2 linked regions of the Lytechinus pictus genome follow. The protein of the gene in region 2 interacts with the protein of the main gene of each other region in a biochemical or structural test. Links are inferred from orthologs where the notes say so. Each region holds a gene or a part of one and is shown on either strand. Other genes may lie near its edges.

Region 1 (8,600 bases), on a different chromosome or scaffold from region 2:
ATCCTTTTAACAAACAAAATCCTAGAAGACAGGAAGATCCTCTATTTCAAACCGACGACCAGGTACTTTCCACTTACATTTAGAAGTTTGTACACTTACATTGTATGAACAAGTAATTTCTAAATGATTCGGCCCCTAAAGGAATCAAGAGATGATGGCTACATATTAGTTTATATGCCAAGTTTGAAGCAATCCTTGAATTGACACGAATCCCACTTAAAATATTGAAAAAATAGAGAGAGAGAGAGGTAGATCTATGGAATTTCTATAGACAAAAAGGACAAAGCCTTAGACACTAGAGGAGCAAAATGAATGAAAGACTATCTCCATTATGCGAGACAAATCTCTAATATTGGAGACTTGCTCTGGAAAAGGATAAAAGAAACATCAACAACATCATAAATTATACCTGCCATCTTATGCTTGTGGTCTAGTATTAAATTGTCAGGTCAGAGCTCTACGTTGTACTGATATACATGTAATTGCATTGGTTTGAATCCAGCTCTTGTTGGCTAGTAATTCTTTCAGTAATAAATTGATAATAGCATTTACTCCGTTGAAGAAACTAGATGCGACATTATTTGTATTATAATTATAATTATCAAGCCAGGGTGCTCCTACCCCGGACGGCTCGAAGTGGGCCGGAGCCCAGAAGGTAACCATAGGCTGCCACTGGTAACAAATGCTAACATGGGTACCTTTGAGGTTGGTGTGCCCAAAACACCAAAAATTACAGAAAAAAAAATCATGCACCCACATCAATTCTAAGGATGGAGGTCTAATGGACAGCAGAATCCTAACATCAAGGCAGTAACCTTACCCTCGAAAAAGGGGGGAAAAGGCAGTGTTCTTTCACTCGCTTTCAAAATTGCAAACAAACCTGGCTGATCGATATACCGAGGGCGCATGCGCGAATTGGCCTGCCTTTTCCCCCCTTTTCGAGGGTCTGGCTACTGCCTTGTTGTAAGGATTCTGCTGTCTGTTAGACCTTCATCCATAAAATTGAGGTGGGTGCATGATTTTTTTTTATTTTGGGTGTTTTTGGTACCCCAACCTCGATGATACCCATGTTAGTATTTGTTACCTGTGGCAGCCTATGGTTACCTTCTGGACTCCGGCCCGCAAAGCGGGCCAGAGCACTGTGGGTTAGGGTGCTCCACAAAGTAATGTATACAGTAATAACTGTAATGTGATAACATATCATGAATTATATCAATAAGATTATCTTTTTTGTTTACAAATTTGTAAACAAATTATAATTTTCTCCTATTAAAGCTGTTTCATTTACAAGATTATCTTTCCATTCAAAAAACAGATATGTCATGAATCTTTATCAATTTTGAGATTATTTGATAACATATCATACAACACAGTCAGTAGAGGCGCACGGCCAATATAGGAGACTGTCTCCTATGAGAGAGATTCTCTAAATAAAAATGTGATAAGCAGATTCCTCATGAAAAATTACCCATTTTCACCGTCTACTTTAAAAATTCACCGTCTACTTTTGTTTTGATAAGGATTTTTGTTGTCATCCACACACAAAACAAATGGGCTTCTGACCTCAGTGAGACAAAATTCTGGGTGGAAAAAATTACGCTTTTGTTGGTGTCGTTTCTTTTGTTCTTTTACAAAGCAAGTCTCCCATATTGGAGAGTCTCCCGGCATTGGCCGTGCGCCTCTACTGACAGTATGCTCCGGGAACAAGCATGTACACATAAAATATTATACATCATATTGATATGATTATGTTTCCACCTCAAAACTGTTTGCCGATCTTTATGAATCTTTTGAGACTAAATATAAGGAATGTGATTTTCTATTTACTGGTAAATAAAAATGGAAAATTTGTCTTGGTTCTTTATTTGTCATGAGAAAATTCAATATATTTACACAATGTACCTTGGCTACAAAATGCTTTGCATGTTTTCTACAGTATAATGAAACAGAATTTCCCTTAGAGATTAACTCATCTGTTCATTAAGCAGTAGAAGTGCACGGCCAATATGGAAGACTGTCTCCCATGAGAGAGATTATCTCCAATATCAGAGACTTTTGTAAAGAATTTGGGTATCCAATTTCAGAGACAGTCTCCAGTTTGGGAGACCAATTTCCTTTGTTTACATTTGCTGCAAAAGGATTACCTTGGCGGCAAATAAAAATGTGATAAGCAGATTCCTCATGAAAAATTACCCCTTTTCACCGTCTACTTTAAAAATTCACCATCTACTTTTGTTTTGATAAGGATTTTTGTTGTCATCAACACACAAAACAAATGGGCTTCTGACCTCAGCGAGACAAAATTTTTGATGGAAAAAAATATGCTTTTGTTGGTGTTGTTTCTTTTGTTCTTTTGTAAAGCAAGTTTCCAATATGGGAGATTGTCTCCCCTATTGGATAGAGTCTCCCATATTGGCCGTGCGCCTCTACTGTTAAGTTTGAAACGGAATTACAAATTTTCAGAAACAGAAAAGATCATTAAAAAAAACAGAACACTGTAACTACCATTATTATGTCTATTATTACATATTATTCCAGGGCACTCTGTCTTTTCGAAGACCATGTTACACCCTAAATTTTATTATCAATCATGTTTCCATCTCAAAATCTTCATTCATTTCTGCCGACAACTGACAAGTATACTAGTACTACTCAAGTACTATTATTACATTCGCTCCATCCAAATAATATGTCAACATCTTCTTTAGACCAAAAGCTTCAGTCTCTGTATTTTGGTTGTTCCGCTGAACTACGTTGGCTCCACTCACCATACATAGACTGAAGGGGATGGGGCCCCGTACCTACAGCCAACGTATAGTGAACTAGCGTTTTATAGATCGCGATTTAAAACTGTTTTTTAAGCAAAATTGAAAGTTTCATGGTTTCCATTATCAGGGAAATATAAAAAACTTAAGTAATTGCATACCTTGGGCCGGAGTTATTGAAAAAAATCCTCTGGATGATTGAGAAATCTGTCATCTAAGACATTTTCACCTGACCTGACGGTTTTTCTTGCAAGTTGCCATCTTGAATGACGTCATTATCGTTATTAACTTAATGTCTCGAATCGATATATCGCGATTATAACTAGTACTAGTACTAGTATAAGTAGTATCGTTTATCTTCGGTTTCGTTCGCATATGGAGCAGATCGTATAATATCGAAAGCAATATCGATATCACATTCGTGATTGTTGACGTTCGTTTGTAAATATTTTATAGTGTGGCTGCCATTTTGACCATTTTTATCGTGTTCAACCCAATTAAACATCGGTAAAGTATATTTTTCATGCCTTTTTCATCTATATCGTTTAAAGTATTTAAACATTTAAATATCAACTTTTAAAAGTTTGTTGTTTATACATCCTTAGATTGTAAATTCGATGTGTAAAATTACATCAAACTTTGGACTGTGAATTGACAAAAGGGAGGGAATGAGAACACATGCGAGCCCACACGTACACCCTACCGTCGGTAAATGGGGATTACAGTAAAATGTCAGAAATTGTTGAATAAATCCCCAGAAACGACGGTTATTCCTGTCTACATCTTCTTGTGCACACAGCTGCCAACAAATTCCCTTTTTTTTTTTTATCAATGTCAGATCTATTCTAGCCTGTTAACAGAAAATTAACAATATCTTTTTTTGCTGATTCAATTTTGATTGTTTGAAATTGAATCACTGACTTGTGACTTTGTCTTTGTGTTGAATTTGAACTGCGGAATCTAACTATATTTTTCACATTAAATAAAAGACAGAGACACAACATAGGAATAGATGAGAGAATGAATTACAATTCCTCTTGATACATTTAGCTGAAAATGACCGCAAATGTCAGCTATGTTGGAAAACTCGCCATAAAATAAAGACTCGGTCTCGGGTTCAGCTTAGCCTTACTAGGGCTCCAGGCAAGCCCAGGCACAGGCCTTGGCTCCGGGGCGCTGCCGCCATGGCCGCGGCGCGGCGAAGCAAGTAGAATTCGCAGCCGCACACGAATTATCTCAGACTCGGAAAAGGTACGGTAGTTTGATCGAGCATTATATTGACTGTAATATGACAATTTCTGGCCCCTAAACAATACTCACCCTCTTGCAATTTCTTTGAAGCCATGATTTCACATTATCAAGCTGGGAAGCAATGTCAGCGGACTCAAAAAACTTGAAATCAGCACCACCGTCCTTCTTTCGGATAGCCATCTTTTGTCTTTCTCGTCTTTTGTACACCCGCAATAATTGAACGAAACTGTCGTTCATTTTTGAGCGGCATGGAGCTGGTGGTCAAGTTTTGCGTTGCCAATTTTATTACTAACAGGTATTTTAAAATGATTGCTGCTCGCATGCCAGTAAATCAAAAAAGTAAAATAACAAAGGATAGCCTTATTCTTAATTGTAACAGAGAAAAATTTATTACATTCAAACATGACAAATCTTCAATGTAGATCTTCATAAAAGTTGAGGAACTCGGTAGGCCTATAGCAAGAAAAATGTGGAGCAGATCGGCCCCGAGATCGGCCTACTGAAAAGACAATTGTCAGCATAGGCGGATCCAGGGGGGGGGGGGGGGCCCAAGGGGCCCGGCCCCCCCCCTATTGGCGGAGCAAAAAAAAAGGAAAGAAAGAAAAAACAGGGGGAAAAGGAGGGAAAAGAGGAGAAAAAGAAGAGGATTAAGATGAGTTGATAAAATAAGATGAGGGGAAGACTTAATTGGAAAAAGCTTTCATGTCACTCATGGTATAAAAATTTCGCTCGCGCTTCGCGCTCGCATTGCCTGTTAGGTGATTTTCATATCTTGTTCAATATGAAGTTTAAAAATCAAGTTTGGAAGTCAATATACAAAACATATTTCACCTCGGAAATCGAACTTTCATTATTTTGTGTGATTTACAAATTGTTTTTAAAAAGTGCTTTGTAAAGATGTCAGTTTTATGGTCTAAAATATTAACATTTTCTGCTCGTGCTGCGCGCTCGCAAATTTTGATTTATCAGGTACCTATTATTTTTGTGTATTCCATTAAATTTTCAAAATATTCTTTTCAGGTCTGAAAGTCAAAACGTATCAGCTAGCGCTGCACGCTCGCATTTTGATCGGCGAGTTATGTATATGTCGCAATATTGATTATACAACAAACTATACTTTAAATCCCCTTTTCATGACAGTTCATCAAAAACTTTGGCTCGCGATTTGTGCTCGCATTAATGGTTAAAATATATTAACTTGATGCATCTTATTTATAATTACACAAGTGCTTGAAATGTCCAGTTTTCAGGCCATAATATCATCAGATTTTGCGTCCTCAGGCGTTAATGAATAAGACATTAATTTAATGATTAAATTGTCCATTTTGTTTCATCTCGCACTTAGCAAGAGGAATAGGAAGACAGTTATCATTTTGATATGCATTTCCTAAGGATGTCCCGGTCCTATGTTAAAACTCAAAGTAATAATAATTAAAATATCAGCTCTTTATTAAGTGCGATCCATATCCACCTCACAATTTTCCTACAAAGTGCTTGAAATATAGAGCTGAAATTGACTGTTTTTTCAGATCGGAATATTAAATAGTTTAAACTCGCGCTTCGCGCTCGCTTTGATTTTCATAATAAAAGATGTATTAAGAATGCCTAGATTCAATATCTAAATATGAAACACGCGCGCGTATTCAGATAGTCAACTTGTTCTCTATTTAAATCATTATCCAGTTTCAGATCACCGTAAATATCAAAAATTTTCTGCTCACGCTTTGTGCTCGCATTATTAATGTAGGTAGACCCCTACTCATTCTTTCATGATTTACAAAACATGAATAGTGTCCCGTTTGTAGGTCTAAATCTCGATTTTTCCGCACGCGCTTCGCGTTCACATCAATTGTTTAATTATAATCCTGTTCACGATTACAAAAATTGATTAAAATGTTACATTCTTTATGTAGAAAAGTAAAAAATTTTCAGCTCGCGCTTCGCTCTCGCATTATTTGATTGTTGAAATATGTAACGTCTTCATGCCTAAGTGCAAGCAGTCCTTAACAGGTACATTTTCGATCTGTTCAAAACGTATATAAAAAAATTCTGCTCGCGCTCTGCGCTCGCATTATTAATGTAAGGAAGATCCCCACTTGCATCCTTTTCATGATTTACAAAACCTGAATAGAGTGTCATGTTCAGTAGGTTTAAATCTCGAATTTTTCCGCTCGCGCTTCGCGTTCGCATCATTATTGTTTACTTATATACCTATTCTGTTTAAGTTACAAAAAGTGCTTCCATTTCTTAGGTAAATTTGTCATAAAATTTCAGCTTGCGCTTCGCGCTCGCATTATTTGATTTTTAAAATATGTAGCGTCTTCATGGCTAACTGCAATATTTAACAATACCTTTTCCATCAGTTCGTTTCTGCTCGCGCTTCACGGTCGTAGTAATTTTTCATTTGCATACACATCTTTTTCAGGATAACAAACATTGCCCAGAATGTTCAAGAACTTAGAAAAAAAACCCACAATATTTCCCCCAAAAAATAGCTCGCGCTTCGCGCTCGCATTGTATAAATAAGGATTATGGTATTATATATTTATGTTTATTCATAAGAATAAAGCTAAGAAGTGACTATTAGGACTACCCCTTCAAAGAAACAAAAAAATCCCGGCAAAAATCATCTTCGAGCGGCCGATCGGGGAAAATATTGCTGGAAAAAATCCGGCCCCCCCCCCTATTGGCGAAGGCTGGATCCGTCTCTGGTCAGGTTATGTTCCCCAATGTGCCAAGCCTCTAGCACTAGTAATCTAGTATATTCAAATTCTCATTAAAACATAAACTATAACCCCCTTTACAAAAATTGAAACTCAGTTGTACATAAAAATAAACACACGTACGGAACACGGCGCAATTGTGAGAGCCAGCATAGAGACCATTATGTCTATATAGTGAAGGCTCTCATATCATGGACCTATAGGTCCATGCTCATATCAAACTCCAGCAGGGGCCAGTAGGCCTATATTCAGATGTTCGAGAAGATTCATACAAGGATGTTTAGCCAAGGCAAAGTGATATGAATTATGAATTAACTTATCCGGGGGACTTATAAAAGGGATGGCCCGGGCTGAAATATTTATATCTTAATACATAGAGTAGAATTCACTGAGCAAAATGCCGAAAATTCCATCAAAAACGGATCACAAATAATAAAGTTATTGAAGTTTAAAGTTTACCAATATTTTGTGAAAATAGTCGTCATGAATATTCATTAGGTGGGCCGATGATGTCCCACTTTCTTATGTTATTACATAAAATCATAATTTTTTCATTATTTCATACTTGTGTGAATAACTTCTCCTTATAATGAAATAAGTTTCATCAATAAATATTTTATGCACTAAGTCAGTTGTCAATCCAATTTTTCTAGTTCTTGGAGGAAAAAAATTGAATAAACCTAATTTCATATAATAAAATACAAAAGAACAAGTTGGGATGTGACATCATCAGCCCACCTAATGAATATTCATGACGACTGTTTTCACAAAATATTGCTAAACTTTAAAATTCAATAACTTTGTTATTTGTTATCCGATTTTGATGAAATTTTCGGCATTTTGCTAAGTGATCTTCTACTCTATTTATTAAGTTATAACCACTTTCAGCCCAGACCATCCCTTTAAGTACGAAATCTAAAATAGTTGTGAAATATAGGGAGGATCAGCAAGCCATGCACGAAGCCAAAAGATAAAAAACAGCAATAAAATTTGAAATGAATGGTGAAATCAAGATAGGGCCTACTTTCTTTAGTGGAGGAAGTTAAAATTCATGGTGATAATTTACTAATGGAAGACGAAATGACAAACATGACTGGTTATATAATCGAAATGAGAAGTAATATTTTCTCCCTTTTATTTTCTGAAGACTTGTATTTTATTTTTGCACTTGTCTCCACTTTAAGTATGAGCCTTATTTTTTCTTCCAATGGACATTTATTTACTCGCTAAAAAGGACTATTTCAAATAGGGCCTATTGACAGAAAGAGTTCATCTAATTCCTATACTTTTTTCATCTCTCCACTCATTTGTGTATTTCTTCTTTTCCGCAAGCGGACCGTATATTAATTTTCACGGTTTGTTTATTTGTTTTTATTTCTGCATAAATTGATAGTCGTAATTACAAAACGAGGTTGTACATTTCGTTAAGGGAAGTCCACTCCAACAAATAAAAATCAACACTGAACATCATCTAAATCGGATGTAATGAAATTTTTGAGGAGGGTTATTTAAATAAAATATATATCGGATTTCCTTTATATTGCACCGTGAGGCGTGAGCAAAGAAATGAAGTGTCTTTTTTTTTTTTGCTGTTTCTGTTGGCAAACGCGGGGACTGGGGGCGGGGCAACCGCAGAACCCTGCCTGAACCCTTCCTTCCTTCTAGTAACGGGACTGATCATCAAAGACGGGGAGTTCCAAAATTCTTGGCATCCTCTCTTTTGTTCTATCTTACTTTAAATTTTTTTAAATTAAAAATTATTGTCAATCTGAACGTTTTATTCGTTTTTTAGTATGTATACCTGGTCCGAATCTGAATTAAAGAATGAATTTATAAAGTGATTACTTAAACTTAATTATAA
Region 2 (8,600 bases):
GCATGAATGATTGTAGAATTTCATTGAAAATATCCTGTCCAAATATTGAATTATTACTGAGTTACTGTCTACTACTATAAAAAAAAAATGGCATTATCGTGGTTTATGTCACCAGTCCATTCACTGCCGTTTATTTCGTCAGCGGGGGTGACATCTTTCCACTCCCATTGACTTTGTACACAACGAGCGCACACACACCGACACACACAAGAAGAGAGGTGACAAATTTCACGATAAGGCCAAAAAAATAAATGAATAGTTTAATACTTGATTCAAGTAATAAAGAAATAAAATGAAAAACATTGACAGACATAATTCAGGTGAGAAGCTATTGTAGGCCCTAGTCAGTTAAATAAAAACTTTGAAATCGCACAAGAATAAAAATTTTCAAGTTATAATATAGATTCACGTATTTGATAAATTCATTTTCTTATCATTTATGGCTTAATTAAATACATGCAATTATATGGCAATGCATTGCAATTGAATTGTCATTGCCTGACTTGACTCGTATAGTCACTTCGCCATGCCCAGGCCATGGCCATTTGAGTGGGGAGTGGGCGTGGCAGCTATGTTACTTGCAGTTGCATCACTCAAGCCCAAGACATCCGAGACATGCATGCATCCCTGTGCATCCCTCCCTCCCAATACTCACTGCGATCAATCGGTTGAGCACCGCCGAGAGAAAGGTTTGAAGTTGTTCACTGCTTTGCGATATTTCCCGCGCTGGCGTTGATCTTCGATGATTCTGTTTCATTGAAACCCATTCTTCTGCTCTTTTCAACCAATATATAACATTATCATTAGAAAGCTTGTCATTTGTTGACATTTCCATATCTGAAAGCGATGGGGTTTGTCAACATTTCCACGTGAAAGATTGTAGTTTTTCGATTTGTATAACATGAAGGGCACCAATGAATTTGTACGTCTACAAAATGTAAATAAAGAAAGGAGCACAGTCTTATCGCAGACCTGTAGGATAGCTTCAAGGAATTATTGCGTGAATATAATACAAACAAGATAGTCTGATCCCCGAGACCATCACTTTAATTTTCTTTAGTGGTACATAAATAATATCGTTGTCCTTAAAGAATAAACTGATTATAATATTACAAATAATTTATTATATTATTTCTGTTTTGCAGCATTTTAATGACAAATATATGAGCAAGTACATATTAAAGCGACTGGAAAGCGAAATAGAAGTCATACCAGCTGAAGTTATCGCTTAATTTTTTTTTCTAATTGTCATGCAGTGGCATAACCACTGAACTGGAAATACGTATTCCCAGTTCAGTGGGCAGAACATACCTTGTTGTGGGCGTAAAGTTTTACCTATAAAACTTGTTTGCCCCTGGCATGTCGATTTGAAGATTTTAATACAGCTCTCGTATAAACACACCCCACGGTTTCCCCACCCACGATGAAGATAATAATAAAAATGAAGATAATAAGAGGGGTTTAAGCATCGGGGAAGGGGGGGGGGGGGGCTCTATAATTTTCAAGTAGTGAAAAAAAGGAAAATTGAAAAATATAGAGAAAAAAAAGAGAATAAATAATAAGTCGTATTTAAAGGGATATCCGGGCTGAAATATTTATATCTAAATAAATAGAGTAAAATTCACAGAGCAAAATGCTGAAAATTTCATCAAATCGGATAACAAATAACAAAGTTATTGAAATTTAAAATTTAGCAATATTTTGTGAAAATAGTATGCACGTCATCCTGAATATTCATTAGGTGGGCTGATGATGTCACTTCGCCCACTCTCCCTTTTCTTATGTTATTACATGAAATCATAATTGTTTCATTTTTTCACACATGTGTAAATGATGTGTCTCCATTATAGCAAAATAGGTTGCAGCAATGTATAATTAATGCACTTAATAATCGTGTCAATCCAAAAAGAACTAATTTAGTTCTTGGTAGAAAATTTTAAAATAAATTACTAGTAACCTTATTTCAAATAATAAATACAAAAGAAGTGCGGATATGACAAACTTCATGAATATTCATAAAGACATGCCTAAAACTGTTTCACCGCGGAATAATGCAAATCTTTAAAATTCAATTTGTTTATTTGTTATCCGATTTTTATTTAATTTTCAGCATTTTGCTCTGTGAATTTTACTCTATTTATTGAGATATGAATATTTTCAGCATGGAGTATGCCTTTACCTTTGTCAGATCTGGATTTTTTTAGCCACATTAATTATCTTTAACTCGCCAAACAAAGTAGAAGATGGTTTGCAGCAGGGGCGTCGGTCCATTTTTCAGATTGGGGGGGGGGGGGCAAAATCATGAATCACTGACGTTCCAAAGGCGCTTGATCACACAAAACAAACAAACTCACCCACACACACATACACAGGCCTATATATAATGTGATGACTACTTGTACCAAACGCTCTTGAGGTGTGAGTATATGAAACATAATGAAATGAGGACAACTCAAAAGATGACGCAGGAAACCATTCTTAGCTTTAGCTTTCGTCTTTATGAAGACTTCGTCAGAAGCAGTCTGTAATTAACTAATTACTAGTACAGACTATTGTGGTAGTAAAGTAGGATGCCTAGATCATTGCCTACCGTGCCGCCTATCGATACTGAAGCCCCCAGCACCCCCCCCCCCCCCACTTCCACGGCCCCTGATTATAAATGTATGTAATTTTGTGTAAGATAAATTAATTTGAAGTATTTTGGTTTGGGAGCACTTGGCACTTGGCAAAATATGCATGACTCACAAATCGTCTTCTCCTCAAATCTCTCTTTTTTTCTCCATAAAATTCATGACTACCGCTCCATGACCTCCATCCAATTTGATGCTAAATCTCTAACTTACAGGATTTGGATTGTTCTATTGGTTCTGGGAATCTCCAAAACAGTAGAGGGATCACCTAAGAGAGAGGTGTCTATCTTGTAATGACAGTGCCCCATCTTGGATTTTATCTTTTTCTTCAGATCATCAGATGGGCAAGAAAATCACACCAATTCCGATTATTTCCGGAAATTACCGACCGAAATGCGCTGCATGCTATGTATGCTGCGCTTCTTCAGTTTTCCGAAATTCACTGAACAAAAGGCTTGTTGCGGAGTATTGTGTGCGATAAAAGTGGGTCGCCGAAAGCTAAAAGTCGATTTTAATCGGTAAGAGAGTTTGTTCATATCTAAATCACCTGATAAATACCTATGTTTATTCTTGAATTCAAATTAAGACATGTTGTGGATGTACTGTACAAGGATCTTTCGTGGTGCTTGTTCGAAAATGGTCCAGGCCAAGCAAGAGTCGTGTAATTTTGTATGACGAGGAACCGATCGAGAGCTTGGCTTGGCTTGTGCATTGGCAAATTGTGTGTGATTGAATGACATGATTTTGTGAATTACAAAGAAGGCTACACAGTGTTATTGTTAGACTTGTGAAAAAAATATAAAGAATTGGGAGGGTGAACGAAAGAATGAAGGAGAGAATGAAAAGATGAAAGAAAAGAGATGAAATGGCTTGAAAAGAAAGGAAGAAAAAATGAAGGAAAAACTTAAAAAAGAATAAAACAAAGTTAGAATAAAGAAGGATGAAACTAAGAAAGAATAAGAGAGAAATAAGGTTTCCGTCATACTTTGAATTGAATATGGAAAGAAAGAAAAAGAAAGGAAGGGAAGATGAATAGTTAAATGTGAAAGAAGGAGAGAAAAAAGTAAGAAAAATGGAGGAAGAAAGAAAGAAAAATGGAGGAAGAAAGAAAGAATGAAGGAAAGAAAAATGTTTCCTTCATTTGAAAGAAAAAAATAAAGAAAGAAGAAAACAGGAATGAAGGGAGGGAAAGAAAGAAAGAATTAGAAGGAAAAATAGAATAAAGAATGAAAGAAAGGAGGAAAAAGAGGGAGGAGAGAATGAAAAAAAGAAAATAATGGAAGGAGAGAAAGAACGAAAAGAAAAAAGGAGAAGGGAGAAGGAAGCAAAGAAAAGTTTAAGGAAAGAAAGAATAGAGGAAATAAAAGAAATTAAAGAAGGCAGGTAAGAGAAAAAAAGGAAAGAAAGAAAAATGAACAGAGAGAGAAAGGATCAGAAAAGAAAGATAGGAAATTAAAGATAGATGGAACAAAAAAGGGTAAGCAGGAAGGATAGAAGGATGAAAAAAGAAGGATAGGAAAGAAAGAGGAAAAAGTTCAAACTTCAAGTGAACAAAAACAATCCAATCATCTAACAAAAATCATAATGATATTTGGTTTTTTTTTTTAACATATTTTTAAAATTTTAGAAAACTAAAATGTTTTAGAAATGAATAAAATTTCAAAGTGAAACATTGTCAACTTAAAAATTAGATGAAACATCGCCGCATCATACATGTACGCAACAAGACTCAAAACAAAAGCTGAAACAGCTGGATCTAGTTATGAAAACTCAATAGCTTGTTCCCTCCGATTACATATCCAAATCAGCAATCTGAGAATCCATAATATAATTATACAAATTTCCCGCTGATTTTGTGATTATTTTGGTGGAAAACTGTTTATCATGTCATTGTTTGCACCATTGAGAATCTGCTCCGATCCTACATGCCTAGCTAGTAGCCAGCCACACACAGGCAGGAGGCCAGTTCGTTTGTGCATGTATTGGGTTAGCAAGAAAATCACCGCAGAACTTGCAAAAGTTTAGTTATCGATTTTATTGTCGTCTCTGCTTCGTCATCTGTTTGATGAAATGTTATTATTATTAAATGTATTAACTATATTTTGTTCAATATTCTGAAGTACGGGACAAATAGGCGTCCGGGGAAGGGTTTGCCGGGACAAAGGAGCAAAATATGGGATGTTCCCGGGAAATACAGGACGTCTGGTCACCCTAGTTGTGTGTAAATTTTCAGTTTTAGCCCGGTGCATTATGAATTGTGGCATGGTACGCTAGTTTGGCAGACATAATTAACAGGCAAAATTGGTACATGTATGGCAAGTTCCCCTATAAAGTATGCGCAGTCCCCTTTGTCTGTTCATACGCGTATCTGCACGATTCTAGTAAAAGAAGATACGCAACGAACACACACATCTAATGCATAGACAGAAATTATTTTACAAAACCAGACTCACAATGGTGGAAAAATAATGAAATTTGAGCATTTCTTGCGACGGCCTCAAAATGCAGCCTTTCTCATCAAATCCCAGAATCGCGTGCAAAGTGATTGGTGCGCAGACATGGGGCACCATTTTTTGTTCAATCTGAAAATTACTGCCCCAGTTTTTTTTTCTAAGAAAATCATATATTTCTTTCAAATTTTTATGAGATATTTGGCACACTAAATCATAATGATGTGAGGAACATTATTAATTGAAAGATTTTGTGAAATAAAAAGAAATTCATGTTAAATCTTAACTCAAATCGTTAGGTGCCCAGACTTGGGGACCACCATCATATTTAGGTCTAACATTAAATAAATGTTATAAATGGGCATTAAAAATGATGCCCAGCAGCTACCTCAAGTATAGTAGAGTGTTTTGTCAAGATTTTTTTTTTTTAGGTCTAAATGACATTATATTATCTTGAACGATGGTCCACTATTTTCTTTAGACTCTAATCTTTCTTTTGATACAATGCATTTTCAAATAAAATTTCAAAAATATATGTTACCGATGATTTGTTCCTTATTTTTTGAATTTTTCTGCCGGAGAGGAAAAACTGGCAGCCATTTGTTGCTGCCCTGACATACGTTCGTTGAGTTAGGCTTTCATGAAGGCTTTCCCATTAGAATTATCGATATCCTGGCCAATCTATGCGAGCGACAAGTTCCGAACGCACGCATGCGCATTTGCATGATCAGATCTTGATCTATAGTCCTACTCATGAATATTCATGAATTGAGCTGTGATTTCTGCGCATGCACAATTTGCGTTTGAGATGTTGGAATCGGCAGTGAATTAATATGTGTGAGGAAACCGATACTGGCTCTAAATCACCAATTTGAAACTGATAGAAGCATGAAAAAGAAATGAAACTTTGTGAAATGTACCGTGGTACATGTAAGATGAGTTGTTATAAATGAATTGTAAGGTCATTTTGTTGCATGAGTTTGATATTCCCCCCATAAAGTGACACCTTAGCAGAGCGAGTTTTGTATATGTACCTTGATATTCGGGTAGGTGTAGCGTAGCCGTAGTGTAGCGGTAGTGAAGTGGAGTGGAGCTTACACAAACATCACTTGAGGTAGCAATTGTCATGTAAAAGTTTTGTTTTTTAATTAATTCTGTGTGAATATTGATGGTATTATTTGGTGCCAGTTGCAAGTGAGTGATTTGAATTTTGAATTGGATGAAAAATTTATAATCAAGAAACAAATATATTAATCTAACATGAGATCTAGTTACAACCAATAAAATTTGATGAAAAAGAAGTATCAAGATCATGAAGATTGATATATTTGATTCCACTTGCTCAAGCGCAAGTTTAAACATGGCCTAAAAATCCTGCACAAATTTACTTTGACAACGCTTTTTGTAAATGTTTTATGCTATGGGCCCTTACATGTACCATGCAGTACAACATTCAGTAAACAAATACCTAATTCGCTCAATTTTTCACACTGGCAAAACATATTAATTAAGACATTTAGAAAAATGAATTAATAATGAAAAAAAAATCATCATGTAAAGTATTGGGGGGGGGGGGCCATGTCTTCCCCCTAAAAATTTACATGTAACTTAAAACTAAACCTGAATTTTTTTTTCCAGTTGATAATGTTCCTTTATATTCTTATGAGTAAGTGCAAAAAATCTCATAAAAATTTGGGAGAAATATACAATTTTCTTCAAAAGAACCTCATCCAGTCATTTTCAGATTGAACGAAATGGTGGTAGTCGTGGTACCCCATGTCCGCGCACCCATTCACTTTACGCATGTACGATTCTGGGATTTTGATGTGAAAGGCTGAAATGCCTGAAATTCAGAATTTTTCACCATTTTGAGTCAGATTTTTTAATGAATATCTGTGTATGCATTGCAAGTGTAAATTTTGTGGTCAGTGCGTATCTTTTTTTTACTAGAATCGTGCAGATACGTGCGTGTGCAGACAAGGGGGACTGCACAGACTTAGGGGACCTTGCCATGCATGTATAGGACACTTACCGGTAAACATTATTGGACCCCCCCCAAAATAAAATCATTAAATCAAGTAAAACTTAAAAGTCTATTATTTTAGTTAAAATTTTGAATATCAATGTCATAAAAAAGATTACAAAAAATATATAGTATTAGTAAATGAAAAGTATTTACTTACTACCAGAAGCTTGTTTTTTTCCCCAAATATCGGACTATAAAGTTTTGCACTATGATCAAACTCGGCTATTTAAATCGCGCTCTAAACCCCAAAATAATTGCTTGGTTGGTGAGAATCTGTTGTGCAAATCCCGATTTTGATTATTACTATCAATAATTTTGATATGTTTTTTTCAACATCACTTTTTTTCCTTTTCTTGCACTCAAATCTTTGGAAATACTATAATTTTTTATCTGCATTTTTACAGTGATCAAGACTGCTACAAAGAGAACACTAATGAGCCAAGTGTTAATCTCAATTTGGACTGTAGGCCTAAATGTTTCTGTACTTCCAGTTTCCAATGACGCTTATGCCATTAAATATGGGTATAAATTGAAGACACAACCTTTATTGTTTATCAAACTTTTACATAGGAAACCCCACGTAAACCTTTGTTCAGATTTGTAATTCATTAATACCGTTTCATTACCCATCGTTTAGGCTGAGCAATGGCTGATGACCCAATGCCTGCACCAAACCAGATACAAGACAACAGTATGAGTTCTGACATGAATCACCCAGGAACAGGACCTAGTGGTCCATCAGGAACAGGACCAGTGCAGGGCTATGATCAAGGAGGAACAGGTAAAGACTGTTTTACTGATTTCTATCCATTTTTTTTACATCAGGATTACTACATATAAATTAAAGCTTTGGTTTGTGACAGACAACAAAGTTTCATTTTGAAGTTGTAGGTTAAGTTCAGGGTTACAATACATTACATACATTTGTGCATTTATGGTTAATATTGTCAATTTGGTTTTAATCTCGTAAAATTTTTCTTGATTCCTTAAGGTAGTATTCAGGTCTATTTTGTTTTTGAATTGTTTAATAAACAGTTTCTTACTTCCTTATTGCAAGTTCCAAGTTTTATTTCATTCTCCATGAAGACATTCAACTAATACAGTCAAATACAATAATACAAATTGAATTGTGGGTACTAAGCCTGGGACGAATACTCGGTCGAGTGTCCCAGTACAGTGCATGTCATGCACATCAACACAGCTGAATCGTGGATGGTCACCATCATGACGGTCACTGTTGTGCCTTGAAAGAGTTTCTTGATGTTTGAAATTCATTAAATCTTGCACTTTGTTGTCAAATGTCAAAAATCACAGCCACATACTCTTGATAATCAAATGTCTCAAATCAGTAATCACGTCTGCCGAACATTCGATTAGTGTCAAATGTAGTTTCGGTTGCCGATTGTTGGTAACCTTATCGATTTAATCGATTGTTAAAGTTTTACTCTTAGGCCTAGAGGATTCATAATCGATGATGAAGTATGATTTTCAAAA

Evidence for each region.
Region 1: the proteins of probable global transcription activator SNF2L2 (region 2) and SWI/SNF complex subunit SMARCC2-like form a complex in vitro, tested with the Drosophila melanogaster proteins (2 studies listed by BioGRID, with this or other methods). The link is inferred for Lytechinus pictus from reciprocal best matches to the Drosophila melanogaster genes brm and mor.

What each region holds. Positions count from the first base shown.
Region 1 is NC_087247.1:25,343,776-25,352,375, forward strand, and holds the start of SWI/SNF complex subunit SMARCC2-like, read right to left. Parts: upstream 4,307-8,600; 5' UTR 4,254-4,306; coding exon 4,086-4,253; intron 1-4,085.
Region 2 is NC_087255.1:22,751,419-22,760,018, forward strand, and holds the start of probable global transcription activator SNF2L2, read left to right. Parts: upstream 1-3,056; 5' UTR 3,057-3,148; intron 3,149-7,743; 5' UTR 7,744-7,751; coding exon 7,752-7,887; intron 7,888-8,600. Other genes in the region: Fanconi anemia group C protein-like, read right to left, coding at 656-835. UniProt on the Drosophila melanogaster protein: Transcriptional regulator. Acts as a coactivator, assisting one or more dedicated transcriptional activators of ANTC and BXC homeotic gene clusters. Can counteract the repressive effect of Polycomb protein.